2 linked regions of the Nothobranchius furzeri genome follow. The protein of the gene in region 2 purifies or fractionates together with the protein of the main gene of each other region. This does not show direct contact. Links are inferred from orthologs where the notes say so. Each region holds a gene or a part of one and is shown on either strand. Other genes may lie near its edges.

Evidence for each region. The genes of interacting proteins can lie anywhere in the genome.
Region 1: the proteins of aar2 (region 2) and ttc27 purify together in Homo sapiens (affinity purification with mass spectrometry; 3 studies listed by BioGRID and IntAct, with this or other methods). This does not show direct contact. The link is inferred for Nothobranchius furzeri from reciprocal best matches to the Homo sapiens genes AAR2 and TTC27.

The regions. Positions count from the first base shown.
Region 1 is NC_091752.1:9,800,008-9,803,661, forward strand, and holds part of ttc27 (tetratricopeptide repeat protein 27), read left to right. Parts: intron 1-328; coding exon 329-427; intron 428-1,254; coding exon 1,255-1,307; intron 1,308-2,269; coding exon 2,270-2,435; intron 2,436-3,654.
Region 2 is NC_091755.1:59,903,614-59,907,770, forward strand, and holds aar2 (protein AAR2 homolog), read left to right. Parts: upstream 1-1,542; 5' UTR 1,543-1,739; coding exon 1,740-2,505; intron 2,506-2,595; coding exon 2,596-2,825; intron 2,826-3,255; coding exon 3,256-3,423; 3' UTR 3,424-3,644; downstream 3,645-4,157. UniProt on the Homo sapiens protein: Component of the U5 snRNP complex that is required for spliceosome assembly and for pre-mRNA splicing.

The DNA of each region.
Region 1 (3,654 bases), on a different chromosome or scaffold from region 2:
CCGTTAGAGAACCCGTCAGACTTCACCGGGGTGGAACCCCTTTCCCTAAATGATGGCGGCAGCACATGCTGTGGTCTTCCACCTGAAACCCATTAACGACCAGTCAGACCAAGGGACAGGGTTATGTGATGACATGCAACATGAAGGTTTCCAGGAGACACGTAGAAAACTGCTGAACTGGAGGTTCTCCACCTCTGGTGTTACTGAAGCTGAATAAATTTGTCTTTGTTCTTCAGTAAAAACGTTTTTTTAAATCCAGCCAGCAGCTTTTAGAGCTCTGGAGGAAATCTGTGTTTGGGTAGACTCTCATCTGTCCCTCTGTCTGCAGCTGGGTGTCTGGTTCTCCCTCGGATGTGCCTACATCACTCTGGAAGGCTATGAGGGAGCGGCGAGAGCTTTCCAGAGGTGTGTGGGACTCGAGCCAGACGTAAGAACACACACACACACACACACACACACACACACACACACACACACACACACACACACACACACACACACACACTTGAAATCATCGTTTTTAGTCTTTTATAAACCTAAAGCTTCTGTCTTATTGTTAAAGAGCAAGTCACCCCAGAGTTTCCCCCAGAAAATGAGTTAAGCCTAGCGGCTTCGGCCGTTGGGGGTGGGGGGGTGCACACGTTCCGCTGATGTTTCTCACCAGTAACAGCTGATGGAGGGCTCTAGTGTCGCTGTGCCGTTCGTGTCAGCGGACACGGTCGGGGAGGGGGACGGGGCGGGACATGACGGGGAGGAGGGTGGGAAATGACGCTTAGCCTGGCGGGCTTATAAAGCACTGGGAGAAACCCAGCACCCCCTACCAGATTCTTACTCCACTCCCACTTCCTGTTTGAAAAATGCAACAAATGCTGTTGCCTAGCAGACCGAGACGGCGGAGCTGCTAACAAATACACACACAGGCTCACAACGACATTGTGACATCATACGGTACCAGCTAACGTTCTAGGATACCTCTTAGCCAATAGCGATGGCAGATTTAAATTCAAATGCAGTGCAGAGTTTTTACCTGACAACGGCACAACACTGACAGTTTTAGGCAGAAGATTTAAATTTTAACTAAAATGCACTTAAGTGCAAAACTATTGACTACACGTGTCTGCAGCACGATTAGACACACATTTGTATAGTTTATCAGAAAAATAAAGTTGATTTGGGGGTGACTTGCTCTTTAATGTGCCAAACTCATTTCCTTGAACTTTTCTGGCCCATCCTGGTCCTCCTCCTGTCCTTCAGAATGCAGAGGCGTGGAACAACCTGTCGACGGCTTACATTCGCCTCAAAATGAAGTAAGTGTGTGTGTGTGTGTGTGTGTGTGTGTGTGTGTGTGTGTGTGTGTGTGTGTGTGTGTTTGTTATTGGACAAATCTTTTAACGTGTTGGAGTAAACCCAGCTGCTAATGAGGCAGGCTCAGCCTGGGGGCAATTCCCAACAGGCCACTAGCATGTGACCTGCTGCAGTGTGTCTGTGGAACGGTAGAGGAAACCGGAAAACCTGGGAATGACAGAATAAAACCTAAAGCCGCTCCGCTAGTTCTGAACGTCATTAAGGAACCGGAACAAATCCAGCAGAGACCTGCAAGGTGCTTCATCCCTGAGCTGATCATTGGAGATCCGGTTTAAACCAGATTCTGCCCATTTTCTGTTGGTTTTTAGATGTTTGAACACCTGCAGGATTTCTAGAGAATAAAGTTTGTGTAAAAACAGAAATGGTTCCCTTCTTACCCTGGTTAGCTTCCTGGACAGCCTCTGTTGACAGAAATAGTTTACACCCCTCAGGAGTGATGTGCTAACGGCTAGTCTGAGTGTAGTGTGTTGCTGCTGTCTAACATGATGAATGCATAAAAGATGGAACAGTGGACCAGACCTTCATGGGTTCTCCAGTCCACCGGAGAGGGACGTCTCTGGCCCCTGAAGAACTGAGAGTCCGTATCTCAGCAATAAGATGAGCTCGTTCCCATCGGGCGTTTCTGGGCAGGACAGGGTCATGGACAAGAGGGTTCTGGTGGGTCATTACCCCCTCTAGGTCTTGTTCTTTGGTGATGGAATGATGGAGAGGTGGCCCAACAGGTCAGGTCTTTGTCAGTGATAAGAGTGTCTCTCTGGACTGCAGTGGTAAAGAAGAAGCTGAGCAGAACAAAAGGTCTGGTTTCATTCGACTCTGAACTGTGGTCATGTGATCTGGATCAGGACCAAAATGTTAAGTCTTCTGGCGTCCTGTTTCAGTGAATCTGCCTGGTTTCCTCTGACAGAACCAAAGCCTTCCACACGCTGCAGGAGGCCCTGAAGTGTAACTACGAGCACTGGCAGATCTGGGAGAACTTCCTTGTTGTCAGCACTGACATCGGGGACTTCTCAGAAGCAATCCGGGCGTACCACCGCCTTATGGACCTGAGGGAAAACTACAAAGACATCCAGGTAAAGCAGCGACCAGCTTCTCCGTTTCTGTTGCCTTCACGACCGCCCGGAAAAGTCAGTAGTTCATGATGTTCTCCATCGTTTCTCTAAGTTTTGAGTCAAAGTGTGATTTATGTCCTGATCAGGTCAGACTTCCTGTTTCTTCCGACTCGTTTTGATTGTGATCAAATTAACTAAAGTCATTAAAAACATCAGAGGGAACAAACTCCCTCCTGGTCGCAGCAGCAGAACAGGAACCAGCTGTGAGTGAGTGGAGGATCATCTGCATGGTTCTCCTAAACCAGGAGAACCAGCCGGAGCTTGTGCAGTCGGGATAATCCATTCTCCGTTTCTCCTCAGAAATAATTCTCTTTTACCGGAGAACCCAGTTCAGCTCCAACTCGGCTGGTTCTGACCGACGACAAAAACACTTAAAAGCATTTTTCATCCTTGGTTTTTAATCTGGTTAATCTGCTAATCTGTGATCAGTCTGATGAGAGGAGTGAGATGGAAAAACCCTCCAGAAAATAAATCAAGTCGCTTATTCAAGGATATTTCTGTCATTTGGATGTTTTTTTCATCTACAGTAAGGATCACACATGCAGGTGATGTCATTCAAAGTGGGCGGAGTCTCCAAAAACAGGAAGCATCAGCTGGGTAGATGATGTCTGATGTTTAAACCGAGTCAGATTGAGTCACAATTTATGAGCCTACGTTTGAGTCTCGTCTCCGGTCCTGTCCGAAGCCTCAACATCCCATAATAATGTTTGTGCAGCTCCTTCTCTGACTGGAGTTCTGCAGCAGAAGCAGAACCAGCCACTCTAGGCCTGCATCATATGATCAGTCACGTTTCTCCTGCCCGTGTTTTTCTTTCATTTCTTTAAGCCGAGCTGAGGCGGCGACGCCGGCACGGACCACCATGAATTCCTGTCTTATAGACTGGAAACGGCACCGCCTGGTGCCCCATGGGGTTAAACGGGCGCTACGCCCGCGCTCTGAATCACCTCTTTATTCTCTCCCCATCAGAATCTTTTGAGCAGAAAATAAGAACTGAAATCTGGAAGGTGATCGGTTTGATTCCGGCTCTGCCAGCGTGAGTCGTTCATCCACTTTTTACTCTAATGATGAGACTTTTATCACCGTGATGGACGGAGATGCTGTAAAAAAATAAGACTTATGGATGTCATTTTACTCTGGCCACAGAAAATGGGCCATGGAATGGACCACACCTCCTGATGAT
Region 2 (4,157 bases):
ATAGTCTTTAATTTCAATGACTGACAATGCAAGCCTTATGTTTCTTCTTGCATTCTTTAAGACAGAGACAACTTCTTGCTCAACTGTTCGGAAAATACAAGGAAAGAAGAGGAAGAGGAAATTATTCATCAACATAATCAAATTACTGATTACTTGTTGGCAAAAACTTCAGAGCAGCTACAAATCTAAGTAGGGTCTGGTGTGACTGGTAACTTCTCACAAAAACACCAGTTTAAGTATATTCACAGCACCGTGATATGACCCTTTTTGCAAAGATAGCTGATAATAAACATGAATGTTAAGTTCTCATTAGTGTTCTTGCTCTTTCTGCATTTGTTAGCATTGCTCCTTGTTATGTTGTTATAGTTTCATTGTAACCACAAATAAGCTAAATGCAAATATTCAGCATTATGCACATTTCAAAGTCTCATGTGATGTGTTTGTGAGTCAAACGTAAATGTGTCTCTGTGTGTTATCCTGTGAATTCAATGTCAGATTTTCTTCATAAAAATATTAAGAAAACAACAAAAATAATTTATATTATTCTCTTCTTAATGTTAGTTAGTATTTAGAGAGTCCCACCTTTGATAATTCCAAAAGGCCATTGCAAATTATTTTTTTAATAATTCAAAGGAACTGGTGCTTTTAAAAGAGAAGAGGAGATGGGACATTAATGCCCTCTGGTGGCACAGAGATGAACTACAGTCTAGTTCAATTAAAAAAAACTTTTTTGCATTATCATTATCATCATCATCATCATCATTATTATTATTATTATTATTATTATTATTATGAAAAACATCCCATTTTTGTCTTATTGGGGATGATGGAGGACTAGAAAGAGCAATCACAAAAATTTAATTAGCGCAAACACTTCCTGTAAATTATTACAAAACATGACATGTCTGAGTTAACAAGAGAGGAACTCGCAGCCTCTAGCTGTCTTTTTTATTAAGCTAAAAACCCAATTGAAATATTTTCGACATTTCCAAATCAGTCTTGTTCACAATCACTCCTTCCAATGGGTATTGCATAGAACAGTCCAACATAAATATTGACAATAATAATAAGTAAAACATTTTATAATGAAATTTTGCCAGAATATAATCTTACTAATTTAAAGGGCAATGTAAAATAAATGTACTGCAATGGAAAATGTTAATCCTGAGTACATAAAATAAATAGTTTTTAAACAGTCTTATAAATTTATTTTAGCGAGTTTTGCTCATTGTTGGGCTTTTTACATAGCAAAAGCGATTACAGCATCAATTCTGCCACTGCGAAAAAAATCTGCTTTAAAATCTTTTTATTGCTTCATTTTCCCAAACCTAAATTTCTAAAAAGATATATTAAGAAAAACTTGGAGGCCAAGTTGTGCAAAAGAGCGGAACTGTTCTAATGAGACACTGTTTCCACCCTGAGCATTTATTTTGTTACACAGATTTCCGGCAAACGAAATAGCAGCGTTGTTGTTTGGAACGTCCACTAGTGTAACTGTAGGTACAGTTTGTTTTTATAAGTGGACGCGTAGACCGTAAAATGGGGTTTTTCGAAATGTAATTAGTTTTTTTTACTTTATTGATAATCTTCGCTGCTTAAATAAGATACTTTAAAACCCTAAAATTAGCATTCGCGTTCAAATACGGAAACACTTGAATGATGAACAGCTCACGTAGCACCTGAGAGAATTTACGCATGTTTCTCAGTAAATATAGTTTGTAGATTAGTAGTAAACAAAGATGGCCAGCAGCAGCTCTTCGAACATGGATCCAGATGTTGCTTGGTCGTTATTTGAAGAAGGAGCTACTTTGGTTCTGCTGGGTGTTCCTCAGGGCACCGAGCTTGGGATTGACTGCAAAAGCTGGCAGGTTGGTCCTCGGTTTCGTGGTGTTAAGATGATCCCCCCTGGTTTACACTTCCTCCATTACTGCTCTGTAAACTCGCCAAGCTGTGGTGGAGAAATCGGTCCTAAAACGGGTCTTTTCCTCACCCTGAAACCAAGAGAAATTCTCCTGGCCAACTGGGATCCCAAAGAAGAAGATCTGGATTTCTCAGCCTCCAGGAATGAAGAGGAAGTGAACAGGATCCGGGGGACTTTGCGGGAGCTGGATCCCTTCTTGGGCCCTTATCCCTATGAGGTCATGAGGAAGTGGGTGTCTCTCACCGATCACATCAGCGAGAAGCTGGCCAGTGACTTACAGCCTCTGACGGGTCGAATCTGCGCCTTCAGTGATGTCGTCCCCGAGCTTCAGTTCAGACACACAAAAGACAGGGCAGAGCAGCCGAGGAACGACACGGCCTGCCAGAGCATGAAAGAGGGACTGGACAGGCTTCCCAAAATGAAGCACAGAGAAGGGACTGAACTGCGCTTTTCAGTTATTCCCAAAAAGACCTACCCTCCTGGGGCTACTCCAGCTGAGATCACGAAATGCAGCATGGACTTGAGCTATGCCCTGGAGGGGGTTCTGGAGAAGAAATACGAGAACCAGCCTCTAAACTTGCTTGGTTTGTGTCACAAAGATTAATGCACTGTTACAAGAATGCAACTGCCTAATGCCTATGCAACTAAATATCTGAATCTCAAATCTCTTCCAGGTGAGCTGCAGTTTGCTTTTGTGTGTTTCTTGATTGGGAATGTGTACGAGGGCTTTGAGCACTGGAAGAGCCTCCTGGCTCTGCTGTGCCGCTCGGAGGAGGCCATGAGGAGGAGGAAGGAGCTCTATCTGGGACTCATCACTGTGCTCTACCACCAGCTCGGAGAAGTCCCTCCTGACTTCTTTGTTGACATTGTGTCACAGAACAACTTCCTCACCAGCACGCTGCAGGTACAGCAGATGTGCAACAGCTGCACGCACAATGTTAGGGAAATATTCAAAATGTTTCTGAATCAGAAAAGAGCTGTCACTAGAGGCACAAACATCATGTTTTTATTTCTTGTGACCCTAAATTGTTTATAAATGTAACAAACAACTTGTACATTTCAGACCGGATATCCATCATTTTCCAGCATTTCCAGCCTTCATTTAAAACTATAAAAGGTAGCAGGGGACATGAATCCTTTCAACGAGGTCTTTAAGTAATATTTTCATTTAAAATCTGTCTTCAATTTTTTTTTCTTCTTTCAAAATGATTTTTAAGCAGCTACAAGATGGAAAATCTACTAGAGCAAGAATTAGGGTCCCATATTTTGTTTCTATTTGATCTCAAACTGGTGTTCTTCATTGGGGATTATTAAATCGACTTTTTATCTTGCAGGATTTTTTCCAGTTTGCCACTGGACCTGGTGTGGATGGGATCCTACAAAAGAAGGCAGAGAAGTTCAAAACCCACCTAACCAAGAAGTTTCGTTGGGATTTCGATGCAGATTTGGACGACTGTGCACCTGTAGTGGTGGAGCTGCCTGAAGGCGTCACAGTGGACTAATTCTCCCATCGTGCAGTTTCTCCTCTTGGCCTCATACCGGTTCTACAGCAGCACACTGCCACGGTTGTTCTGTGTGGTTCCAACATGTCTTCTATTGTTTGTCTTTTCATAAGGAGAAGATAATATGTTCACGAATCATCTGTAGTGATGTAGTCAGAGAGAGGAGAGGTTTGATCTGAGGTCTGGTGGTTTTTATATTAAATAAAGTCAGTAACAATTTATTTTGTTTTATTTGTATAGTTGTTTCAAAAGAACATTTACATTCTACCACATTATTGGAAAGTTTTGAACAGTAGTTCATGAATCTATGAACAAATCTAAACATGCAAGACATCATATGCGTAACATTTGTTTCAAAATAAAGCACTATTGTCCAACAGGAAAGTGGGAACATATTTATATAAAGCAACCATGTGGTCAGGTTGCCCCTGAACGTCTCCCTAGTGAGGGGCTTTCCAGACACATCCAACCTGGAGAAGACCCAGGACACGCTGGAGGGACTGCGTCAGCTGGCCAGGCACTGCCTTAGGGTTCCCTTAGAGTAGCTGGCCCAAGTGGCTGGGGAGAAGGAAGTCTGGGCCTCGGCTTAGGCTGACCTGACCCGTGACCTGACTCTGGATAAGCGGCTGCAAATGGATGGATGAATGTCAGCCTCTTTTAATTATCATGAATGTTTAACATGTCCACTAGGGGGAACTGGAGGACTGGTTTTCACTATGAGCTCCTTTTAGTTT